Macaca fascicularis: one gene and its partners. The protein of the gene in region 1 interacts with the protein of each later gene in a pairwise test. Links are inferred from orthologs where the notes say so. Each region holds a gene or a part of one and is shown in the gene's direction. Other genes may lie near its edges.

What was found.
Region 2: the proteins of RASSF5 (region 1) and MYLIP interact in binary tests that used the Homo sapiens proteins (3 or more experiments, as listed by UniProt). The two-hybrid records come from large-scale screens. The link is inferred for Macaca fascicularis from reciprocal best matches to the Homo sapiens genes RASSF5 and MYLIP.
Region 3: the proteins of RASSF5 (region 1) and STK4 interact in binary tests that used the Homo sapiens proteins (3 or more experiments, as listed by UniProt). The link is inferred for Macaca fascicularis from reciprocal best matches to the Homo sapiens genes RASSF5 and STK4.

What each region holds. Positions count from the first base shown.
Region 1 is NC_088375.1:64,329,607-64,333,758, forward strand, and holds the start of RASSF5 (ras association domain-containing protein 5), read left to right. Parts: upstream 1-1,298; 5' UTR 1,299-1,373; coding exon 1,374-1,830; intron 1,831-4,152. UniProt on the Homo sapiens protein: Potential tumor suppressor. Seems to be involved in lymphocyte adhesion by linking RAP1A activation upon T-cell receptor or chemokine stimulation to integrin activation.
Region 2 is NC_088378.1:156,812,268-156,816,470, reverse strand, and holds the start of MYLIP (E3 ubiquitin-protein ligase MYLIP), read left to right. Parts: upstream 1-1,270; 5' UTR 1,271-1,513; coding exon 1,514-1,600; intron 1,601-2,746; coding exon 2,747-2,937; intron 2,938-4,203. UniProt on the Homo sapiens protein: E3 ubiquitin-protein ligase that mediates ubiquitination and subsequent proteasomal degradation of myosin regulatory light chain (MRLC), LDLR, VLDLR and LRP8. Activity depends on E2 enzymes of the UBE2D family.
Region 3 is NC_088384.1:101,076,346-101,079,989, forward strand, and holds part of STK4 (serine/threonine-protein kinase 4), read left to right. Parts: intron 1-3,100; coding exon 3,101-3,215; intron 3,216-3,644. UniProt on the Homo sapiens protein: Stress-activated, pro-apoptotic kinase which, following caspase-cleavage, enters the nucleus and induces chromatin condensation followed by internucleosomal DNA fragmentation.

The sequences.
Region 1 (4,152 bases):
TTTAGACTATTCTTCTAAAAAATGACCACCGCTAGACAGACCAAACTGAACCCGTGTTTTAAGAGGAAAGCTGTGATCACTGAGTCATAATGACGGAGCTGGAAACACCACGTTAACACCCACCCGTCTCGCTACCTCCAGCCCAGTGTGCAGTTAACAAAATTGGGGCTGGAGAGGGCCCAGGCCCAGGTTCAGAGATCCAGGAGTCCTCCTTATCCATGAGATGGGCCTGTTTCCATGGGCAAAGGTGCCTGTCAGGAAAAACTACATAATTTGTGGGAACCGGTGCAAAAAGAAGACGCCTGGCCCTTTGTTCAAAAAGTAAGACTTTCAAGATGGTGACCGCAGAGCGTTAAACCAGACAGGAGTCCATGAAGCAAGCCTTCATTGGGGAAAGTGCCGGGAGAAAGGAGATCTCTCTTTGGGTCCCATGACTGAGCCGTCCATACCAGGTTCCACGTAGGGCATTTAGGGGAACTGGTATCTCCATAGTAATTACTCGAGCAGCTCTAGGGAGCGGAGGGTTGGCTAAGGAAGAAAAGCTCCCCCAACCCTTGGGGCGCGGGAGCGTTCTCTGCATCGAGTCCCCCTACCTCCCCCGCACCAGTCTTCCAGGAAAGAGGAATACCCTACCCGGCAGGACTGCAAAGGGAGGGGAAATCCAACCAGAGCGAAAGTCGCACTCGGACAGCTCTGCCAGCCCCAGCTGCGCTGGCTGCATCCGGCGGTCAGCCACGGGACAACGCGCGGCTGCCGTAGCACGAGCGGGGCATTCCCGACCCGCGTCGAGCTCGCCTGTAGAGGGGGCGGAGGGCGGCGACAAGCCGGAGAGAGAAAGGGCCAAGGAGCACTGCCCTTCTGTCCGCACGATCAGCGGGAGGGTGGCGGGCGGACGCCTAGACTGAGGGGCCCTACTGAGACCCCATCAAGCCAGTTCCCAAGCCTTTCCCTCCGACCTGCTCCCTCCCGGGGCGCGTGAGGGTGCGGGTGGCGGGTGGACCTGGTGTTGGGGGAAGTGATCGGCAAGGGAAAGAGGCAGGGCTGAAGGCCGAGGGTCCCTCGCAGAAATGCGCCCTCTGAACTGTACTGTACAGAGGCGCTCCTCTGCGGAATCCTGCAGCTGCTCCAGGTGACGCCCCCAAATCCACACTCGAGCAGACGTCACCCCGCACCGACCCTACCCCTCGGTCCGTCGGTGGTTCCCTTGGGTAGTTCTTCCTGCCACTCCGACTCTCCCCGCCCCCGCCCCGCCCAGCAGGCTGCGGTCCCTTTAAAGGCGCGCTGATGTGGGGCCGCCCCTTCTCTCGGGGCTGCCTCGGGAGTAGCGCAGTCGCCAAAGCCGCCGCTGCCAAAGCCACAGCCACTAGCCGGGCATGGCCATGGCGTCCTCGGCCATCGGGCAGCGCCCGTACCCGATACTCTTGGACCCCGAGCCGCCTCACTATCTACAGAGCCTGAGCGGCCCCGAGCCGCCGCCGCCGCCCCCCGACCGGTCCTCCCGCCGCTGTGTCCCGGCGCCCCTCTCCACTGCGCCCGGGGCGCACGAGGGGCGCAGCGCCCGGAGGGCTGCCCGGGGGAACCTGGAGCCCCCAACCCGGGCCTCCCGACCCGCTCGCCCGCTCCGGCCTGGTCTGCAGCAGAGACTGCGGCGGCGGCCTGGAGCGCCCCGACCCCGCGACGTGAGGAGCATCTTCGAGCAGCCGCAGGATCCCCGAGTCCCGGCGGAGCGAGGCGAGGGGCACTGCTTCGCGGAATTGGTGCTGCCGGGCGGCCCCGGCTGGTGTGACCTGTGTGGACGAGAGGTGCTGCGGCAGGCGCTGCGCTGCGCTAGTAAGTGTGAAGGCAGGGGAGGGGCGCGCGGGGAGACCGCAGTCTGGGGGCGAAGGACTGGTAGGGCCCTGGGGCAGGGAGAGAGGGGCCATTACACTCTCAGGCTCCAGGGGAGCCCCGACCATAAGGAGGTAACCCCTGGGGACAGTCTTCTCCTTAGCTCCCTGCCCTGTATCCTTTAGTGCCTGCCCACTGCCTAGGTATGGTTATGCGGTAGTTAACAGATACCTGTCTCCTGACAGGTGCATGCCTCGGCCCTACACACACACACACACACACACACACGCAGGTTGTGGGGGGTGGGTGGGTGATGGCCTCAGCGACAAGGTCATTCTGTCATCTCCCTGTGCACCCTCATGGTTTCGTTGTGAGTTCTTGGGAGTGGGTTGTGAGACTGCTGTTAGATGACCATTTGACCCTTGCTTATTAGGGTTACTGACAAAACGCTAGACCTCTCCTCCAGGCTCAGACCTCTCCTCCAGGGGTACCTATTGGGACAGGGAGGAGACCTTGTTAGGCTCCGGATAAAGGCAGGCTGTGAGACTGAAGAGAGCCTGAAGTCACCCTGAACCCGTGCCCCCTCCTGCCTTTCGCCTCTGGCCCCTCAAACCTTTGGACTCTGCTCCAATGTTTGGCTGTGCCCTGCCTCCTCCCCTTCCTCCTCCTGGGTTCCTGCCCTAGTCGTCATGCTCTAACATTACTCAACTCCTGACAGGGTCCCTTCATCTCCACAGCTCTCAGGCCCCTCCAGTCACCTCCTGAGCCAGGCTCTTCTCAAAGCCAGAAAACACTGGGCCCCCAGTGTATACATTTTCTGAGCTAATCTTCATTTTTCTTGGGGGTTTATTATTTTTCTCCTCCTACAGTTAGGGGTGCGTATGCCTTTAATAGGTGTCCACCGTCCACCCCCTCCCCGGCATTTGCTCTTGCGTGTTTAGCAGAGGATATCCACAGCCATGTGTTCATGTGTTTACATGATATTTCAAATAACTGAAGCCCAAAGCACAGACAATGGCACAGCCTCTAACAAGCATCTCTGGAAATGGATTGTGGTTTGCATCTTTCAGCAAAGGCCCTTCCCCCATGACAGCAGCCTTACATCTCCCATCCAACGGTAGCGTTGGACAGCAGCAGCGATTTCCACATCAGGAAAAGCCTACCTTTTTTCTGCCTGCAGTCTGCAGCCGAGGATGTTCAGTGTGCCACCCGCTGCAGCTGGCTGCAGGGAAATAGAGCTCAGACTCTAAGCCTGGATCAACTGGAAGGGAAAGATTGGAAGGGCAAGTGGGTGGTGCTCTTTCCTCCACCAGAACTCCCAGTTCAGGTGCTAATTAAGAAGGAAGGAGCAAAGGTTTGTAGAGGTACATGTTGTGGGTAGAGGGGCTGCTGTCCTTTGGTAAATGCCTTTGACTGCAGTAGAATCGAGTGCAACTTACCCTTGGGTGTGTCGGCAGCTTTTGCACTTTCAAGATTCCCTTACTGCATCCAACAACCCCTACACACAGGCAGAGAGCCGGGAGCCTCAGTGAAATGAGTTTTATCATAGCTGGAATCCCAGGAAATCTGCTTCATTGGCATTCTAGTTTGTAGTTAGACTTTGGGGGACTATATCACTTGTTGAAGATTTTGCACATAGTTTTGTGATTTTCTTTTTCTGGTTTGGTGATAATGGTACCTTTGTGTGTATTTGTATGTGCCTGTGTGAGATACTCCATGATTAAATGAATTGATCATCATGTCACATCAGAATTGTCGTTCTCCTTTGATAAAGTCATACATCATTTCTAGTGGCAGGAAGACTCAGGCCCCCAGGCAGTACCTCTGACTTTGTGCGTGACTTGGTGAGGTGTTTTTACTTTCCTGGGCTCTCATGGCCCCCCACATAGTTGGTTTAATACTAACGATGTCTGAACACTGGAGAGAAAGCAAAACTGGAATCAAGGGGCTACAAAAAGGAGTCTCTGTTTGTCATGATTAATATTTAACTAATTGTGAACCTATGGCTGGATGGCAAAAGTTGAGAAACGTTCTGATGTGCAGATGAGGGCTGGCAGGTGGAGACATAGCAGGCCAAACTCGTGGAGCATCTTTCTTCAAGCTGAAGGGTCTGATTCCATGGTGGGGTTGCTTTGTTTTATCTTCATTTTGAAAAGCAAGTGTTAGAAATAGGACTTTAAAAAATCATACTATGCAGTAGTTAAGAGTACAGACTGGAACCAGAGCCCTGGGTTTGAATCCTGACTACCACTTAGTCCCCATGTTACCCCCGGACGTCTCTGTGTTCTGCTTCCTTGTTTAAAAAAAAATGGGGATGGCCGGGCG
Region 2 (4,203 bases), on another chromosome or scaffold:
TTCCATGGCTGAAACCCACATCATCTGGCTTCTGTAAAGAAATAAAAAAGGTAGCCTATGTAATGTATTGGCAAAGAGGAACAAGCGGTAAATGAGTGAATAGTTGTAGACCTTTAATAGCTACTATTGCAGTAATGCCACCTGTTAGGTCAGGAGATGGGCATCTTACCTTAAGACAAGGACAACATCTGGTTGCCTGGGAGAAGGGACAGGCAGGGTATCAGATGCTGAATGAATGTTTAATGAATGAGTGAGATAAGGCAGGAGATAGAATGAGCAACCTGAGAGAAGGCCTGGTGCCCTGTAAGGCGTTTTGATTCAGCAGAACGAGTAAGGAGAAGCCCTTCTGGAGGGTAACACACCAGCACTAGACCAAGACACCTGGCTCACTGGTCAACTGCAAAAACTTTCATACTCAGACTGTTTTTCTCAATGATGAGGTCTTAATAAGGAACAACGATTATGCCTCCCAGCAACCCACTGTGGCTAAGCCTGGTGGAAAACAGTCTTTTTCCTTTCTTTTTTTTTCTTTGAGACAGAGTTTTTTGCTCTTGTTGCCCAGGATAGAGTGCAGTGACACAATCTCAGCTCAGCTCACTACAACCTCCGCCTCCTGGGTTCAAGCGATTCTCCTGCCTCAGCCTCCCAGGTAGCTGGGATTACAGGTGCCTGCCACCACGCCTGGCCTTTTTTTTTTTTTTTTTTTTTTTTTTAGTAGAGACAGGGTTTCACCATTTTGGCCAGGCTGGTCTCGAACTCCTGACCTCAGGTGATCCGCCTACCTCGGCCTCCCAAAGTGCTGGCATGAGCCACCATGCCCGGCCGAAAACAGTTTCCTTTAGGCTTTGGGTTGCTCCTTTTCCTTTTTGCTTTCACAACCGAAATGCGTGCTCGGAGTGATCCAAGATATCTGAAGAACAGTGGCAGCTTGCAGGTGTTTAATCACCGTAAATTCGAGATGGCAGAAAGGCGTCCCCGCCTGGAGCCCCGGGCGATCGCTCACTCCGAGCAGCGTCGCCCAGCGGGCAGAGGCGGCGGGTGTGCTCCCGTGCCTCCTTCCCTTCCCGCAGCACTTGGCGCGCGCAAGCTGCCACCTCCCGGGGCGGCCGGGGGAACTCAGCCGGCGCTGGGAGGCGGGGGCCGCGGTCGAGGGGCGCCGCTATTGGCTGACCGGGCGGGGGAGGAGGGGCGGGGAGACCGTGATTGGCGGGGACCCGAGCTGAAGGGGGCGGGGCCGTTATATCAGAAGAGTCCCTGTCGCGGCGCAGGCAGTTGAGCTGCTGGAGTGCGGCGCCACCGCGGAGGACAGGGGGAGCTGGCGGGCAGCGGGTGAGGGGGTGGCGGGGACGCGAGTGGCGGCCGCGGGGCGCAGGACAAGGGTCCGCAGAGCTGCAGCCTTCGAGGGCCAGCCCTCTCCGAGTCCGGGGCTGGGTCCCAGCCGTGACAAGGCGGCAGCCCTGCGCACACCAAAGAGAAGGCGGCTGTGGCGGCAGCGGCAGCGGCAGCCCCAGCCATGCTGTGTTATGTGACGAGGCCGGACGCGGTGCTGATGGAGGTGGAGGTGGAGGCGAAAGCCAACGGCGAGGACTGCCTCAACCAGGTGAGGGCGAGGGGCAAGAGGGGGCCCCGGAGGGTCCTGCGAGACCGAGGGGCCTCGCAGCGAAGCCTGGCACCCTGGCGCGCCGCCTACTAGGGGCCGGGAGGCACTGCGGCTGCAGCCGGGGAGGAGCGCGTCCCCTCCTCTCCACGGGCGTGGGGCGCGCGGTCTCCTCCTGGCGTGCGTGGGGTGCGCGGAGAAAGCGTGCAGCGGGGGTCCCCAGCGCTGAGGGCCTGGCGCAGCCCGCAGCCAGGATCCACCCCCCAGCCCCCCATCATCCCCCCAGTCCAGCACTTTCCCGGAAGAAGGCGGCTCCGCACACCTGCGGCAGGTATGTGCGTGATACCGCCTGTCGGGTCCCCGCGGCGCCTGGCAGTGCCACCCGCGTGCCAGGATGGAATGGAGTGACTCGAAGCAGTCTCGGGCCCCAGGGGTTCTTGGCAGATAAGCCGGGCCCTTGTCTCACGCTGCTTCTCAGGCTGCTGCTCTCAAATGCACCGTTCACCTGCATCTCCGGGTTTGCGGGGGACGGGAGGAATAGGTTTGGGTCATCTACTGCTCGGTTGTTTTTAAGCATGTGGTTCCTTAAGAATGAGGGAGATCGGTGCCAAATAGCGCATAGGTGGTATGGCAGACAGCAAATGTGATCCCAGGAAAACGCTATACCCTCAACCCCTCTAGCTCTGAGATGTTTGGGAAACCGCTTGTGAAGCTTAGCTGACACTTGTGGCGTGTTGCCTCAATGTGTTTGATTTTTGGAGTCCAGATGGTTAAAATTGCCCAGATAATAAGTCGCCAAAAATCAGCTGTGCAGAGTATGCTGGTGGAGGGAATTCCGGTCATTGGAATGAGACGGAAAATACCCTGTAGTTTTCCCTCCTCATCTTTTGGAAGGCTACTTTTGAGGACTCTTTTTTTCTCTATTGCAATTGGTCATGCCCTAGATGTTAAAAGGAATTATGAGTCTCCATACTATAGGTCGTAGTTTGGTGTCGTTGGAGCCGTAGAACTTTGTTTTTCCAGTTTAGATCAGGAATTGTAACACTACTGAACTTTGTAAAAAGTACCAGCAGTCGGCCTCCGGGAGTCGTTGGGTTTGCTTTGACATGTACCATTTGCTCATCCAGGCTGCATTCCTTTTTGTTTTAGGTGTGCAGGCGACTGGGAATCATAGAAGTTGATTATTTTGGACTGCAGTTTACGGGTAGCAAAGGTGAAAGTTTATGGCTAAACCTGAGGAACCGGATCTCCCAGCAGATGGATGGGCTAGCCCCTTACAGGCTTAAACTGAGAGTCAAGTTCTTCGTGGAGCCTCATCTCATCTTACAGGAGCAGACTAGGTAAAGTGAGCTAAAATAAACCACTGTCAAATAGACCTTTGGTTCCCTTTAGAAGGGCCGCCGCACCTTCCCAGAGATACTCACAGGCAAGTTTGTTTTGATGCGGAGTTCCATCTTAACTTACGTTTTCCATGCCAGTCCTTTTGTTGAGGTGAAGAGGGAGCTACCTACTTGGTCCGAGTGCATTTTCCAATTCATTTTTTAGTTTTTCTTGTCTTTACAAACTTGATGGGTGAGCAGAGTTGAATTCTTAGGAACACTTCAGATAAGTGCTACCCCAGAAAAAAAAAGAAAGAAAAACCACCTGACCCGACTGACTGACTTCCTGATAGCATCATCTAATGCCCGATAGTAACCTCTGCCTCAGCAGTGTTACTATAGGTCATTGCAGACTGTTCTAACAGAAAGCAGGAAACAGTTCCTCTTGGGTTACTTAAACTTGGTCAGTTTCTTCAGCCTAGTGTCAGATTACAGTGTGCAGCCAAGAGTTCTGTTTGACTTCATGCAGAATTTTTAAAGTTTTTAAGTTTCTTGAAAATGTAATTTCATGAACTCTTCTGAGGCTGCTGTAACTGAATTCCAACCCACAGATACGTTACACAGGATTGGTGAGTTTAGATTGAATTTATCTCTCTACGTTGTAAAACACCACCAGCAGTGGTAGACAACTGAAGCATGTAGTCTCATTTTTCACACAAAGTATGTTCTCCCCTGGACTCACTCTAATACTTTTCTCAAGAACGAGCCAAACTAGGAAATTGATATTTAATATTTATTGAAAGGCAGGAGACTTCAATCTTACAGTGGCATATAAAAAATTAAAAAGGAAAACAGCTACTTTAAAGACATAGCAAACTTTGGATCTAAGTTCTAATGCTTTTCATAATTCTTTGGCTGAGAAATATGCCATGCATGTGAAAAATGTGATTCTAAAAATTTTAAGTAATGATGAAGGAGCGTTATCCTTTAACAGTTTTTTACATGACATTTGCTTGTTTGTTTTACCCAAGGAGTGATAAAAACTCATTTTGAAAAACTATTCATTTGAATTTGAAATCTCCACTTTGCCTTGTAATCGAGCTTTAAAGGTTGAGGCAGATGTTTAATTTTGTTTCTGAATGAAGATGGTATATTGAATTCTTGGTACTCCTGAAAATATCTTGCAAAATATTCAAGTGATTGCATGCTTCAGGATGTTTTAGCTGTCTGTATTAATCAGAATAGGCTTTTAAAAATGATTATTTAAAGCTGATTTGTGAAAGCTTT
Region 3 (3,644 bases), on another chromosome or scaffold:
TTTTTTTTCAGTTTTTTTTTTTTTGTTTCGAGACGAAGTCTCACTCCGTTGCCCAGGCTGGGGTGCAGTGGCGCAATCTTGGCTCACTACAACCTCCACCTCCCAGGATCAAGCGATGCTTGTGCCTTAGCCTCCCGAGTAGCTGGGACTACAGGCATGTGCCACTACGCCCAGCTAATTTTGTATTTTTGGTAGAGACAGAGTTTCACCATATTGGTCAGGCTGGTCTCAAACTCCTGGCCGTAAATGATCCGCCTGCCTTGGCCATATCCCAAAGTACTGGGGTTACAGGAGTGAGCTACCAGGCCTGGTTTTTTTCTTTTTTTCAGTGAGCCCTTTTAGACACTAGGAAGAAGAGGCAGAAGGTGGTGCTTGTTTTTTTTGTTTTTTTTTTTTTTGTGATAATGATCTTTTTTACTTCCTATTGAGAAAACATTTCTGCAGAGATAGCTAAGAACAGATAATTCAAATGTTTTTTAGTTCTAGAAACCTTAGAATACCAGGTAAATCTATAAAAAAAGAGTAGTTATGTATATACTACTGTCTGTTCCTTCACATTAAAAAAAATTATTCCAGCTGAGAGTACTTAAGTATTTATTTTTGAGGAACTAAGATTTGTCAAATGTTGTAAGCAGGAAGTCAGACCAAAAGACGACCACAGAAAACCACGTGGTTTGCTCTGAAATTCCATGACAACACGGGTTGGTCACTGATAGAGCAGGCTTCCCCAGCACTATTTAGATTAGAGACAAACACAAAGTTAGGGGCAATGCCAGTTCTAGTTAGTTGAAGATGGGTGAGAAATTCTCTCAGTTGAAGCTGCATTCATTCTTCTGAAGGCTTTTTGGTCAGCAGATCAACTTAGTACCCCCTGTTTGCAAAACTTCTACATTAGGGTTTAGGTGGGGTTACCTACTAGAAAATTAGTCCAGAAGCCTTTCGGTCTCACAGACTTGGGAATGTAGTCCTTTCTTTTCTCTCTCCCTCCTTTTTTTTTTCCTTCTATTTTTGTGATTATTGTCTACTAGATAAAATCCCCATTTTTCTTGATTGGATTGACCAGATGAAGGTGGCAGTTTTCCATTTGCTCCTTTTTCAGATACATTTTGGAAGTTCTTTCCATTTGGCAAATTGGGACTTAGTCACTTTCGATAGACTGTGTAGGAGCTGTGTTCCAAACAGAGTATGGAAATGTCTTTAATTAAAGAAGAGATAAGAGTCTACCCTGTGCTAAGCACTGTAAGGAATACAGTGAAATACAGAGCAGAGCCCTTGTGCTCTGGGAGCTTATAGTCTAATTGGACAGGCTAAGTATATATATATATATATACACACACACACACACACATATATATATATGTGTAGGGAGGAGAATCTAGCCAACAATGCGAGACTATAGAGAACATATGTCAGTAGTAAATACTTGATAGTAATGGCCTGCAGTATTTAACTCCCGTCAGTACTGTATTATAGAGAGAGTAAATGTGTTAATATTTACCTTAGTCACTTTTTTCATTAATATTTTGTGTGTGTGTGTGTGTGTGTGTATGTTTTGCTGTCCTTGTGACTTTGTGTGTGTGTGTGTGTTTTGCTGTCCTTGTCACTGGCATGTTTCCCGAGGTTTGAAGAGGAAATTCTGAGTTCTGAGTTAATGAAGCCAATTTGGTTTTAGCATCAGTTGTTATGAAACTTTATTTGACCATGATAACCATCTAGCCAGTTAAAGCTGGCAGTTCTCAAAGAGCACATTATTTTATTTTAATAGGATATTTGATTTTTCTCTGAAATTTCTTGTTTGGTATCTCTCTTCCAGCTTGAGACCTAAAATTCCAGGTTTGATACTGAACATTTTTTCTTTATAATAGGTTGTAGTGTGTGTATGTTTTTATTACAAAGTACATATGACTTCTTAGAAGAATTCAAATGAAAAGAAAAGAAAATCACTTTTCCCTTTGGAGAAATCATCATTCTTTTTGTTTGTTTGTTTTTTTGAGATGGAGTCTCCTCACTCTTGTCGCCCAGGCTGGAGTGCAGTGGCCTGATCTCGACTCACTGCAAGCTCCGTCTCCCGGGTTCACACCATTCTCCTGCCTCAGCCTCCCAAGTAGCTGGGACTACAGGCCCCGCCACCATGCCTGGCTAATTTTTTGTATTTTTAGTAGAGACGGGGTTTCACTGTGTTAGCCAGGATGGTCTCCATCTCCTGACCTCGTGATCCGCCCGCCTTAGCCTCCCAAAGTGCTGGGATTACAGACGTGAGCCACCGCGCCTGCCCGAAATCATCATTCTTAAATACTCCTTGATACACATATTCTTCCAAATCTCTTTGGAGTTTTACAATAATTACTGTTTTGTAGCCTGCTTTTTTGTTTGTTTGTTTTTGTAAACACGATGTCTTCTCATATACTCCTCTATAACATTTTTCATGGATTCATGATATTTTATTATATGGCTATATCATTCTTTCTTTTTTTTGAGATGGAGTCTTGCTCTGTCGCCCAGGCTGGAGTGCCGTGGCACCATTTCGGCTCACTGCAAACTCCACCTCCCGGGTTCAAACAATTTTCCTGCCTCAGCCTCCCCAGTAGCTGGGACAACAGGTGCACGCTGCCATGCCTGGCAAATTTTTTGTATTTTAGTAGAGACGGGGTTTCACCATCTTGCTCAGGCAATCCGCCGCCTCGGCCTCCCAAAGTGTTGGAATTACAGGCATGAGCTACTGCACCCGGCCCTGTATCATTAGTTCTTAAATAAATTCCCTAATGTTGGATGGACATTTAGATGTTATCTAAATTTCTACTTTTGTCAATAGTACTATGATGGTAACTGTTGCTTTTTGAACATTTATAATTCTTTTTTGAGGGTAAATTGTAGACATAGAAATGCTGGTTAAAGGAGCCACCGATTTTTTATACTTCCGTGATTTATTACCCTCCGGAAAAGCTATACCATTTTGCATTCTTATCAGGAGGTTGCCCATTTTGTCCTTAACTATGAATAATTGATCTTTCCAGATGAGGAATTAATTTTTCTATACTTAATAGCATGAATTAAGAGATGTTTGAAGGCCATTTTATTAATTTGTATTTTCTCTCTCTAGCCCTCATGTAGTCAAATATTATGGCAGTTATTTTAAGAACACGGACTTATGGATCGTTATGGAGTACTGTGGGGCTGGTTCTGTATCTGATATCATTCGATTACGAAATAAAACGGTAGGTTTACCTTCTAGAACAATGCAGCTGAGCTAGTTTCTTATGCTATCTTTTTTCTGCCTCTTTTTCAGTACATTCTCCTACTAGAGAGATGACTGTCACATTTCCCCTTTTCCATGGTTCTCTTCCATCTTTATTCTTTTATGTCTCCTAAGTGTGACAGCTTTTTATTTTTAAGAGACAAGAGTCCCCTGTCACCTGGGCTGGAGTGTAGTGGCACAGTCATAGCTCACTACAGTTATAGCTCTACCTTCTGGGCTCTAGTGATCCTGTCACTTCAGGCTCCTGAGTAGCTGGGACTACAGACTTGTACCATCATGCCAAGCTCATGTTTTGTTTTGTTTTTTAATTTTTTTTTGTGGAGACAGGGTCTCACTATGTTGCCCAAGCTGGTTTCGAGCTCCTGGCCTCAAGCAATTTTTCCACCTC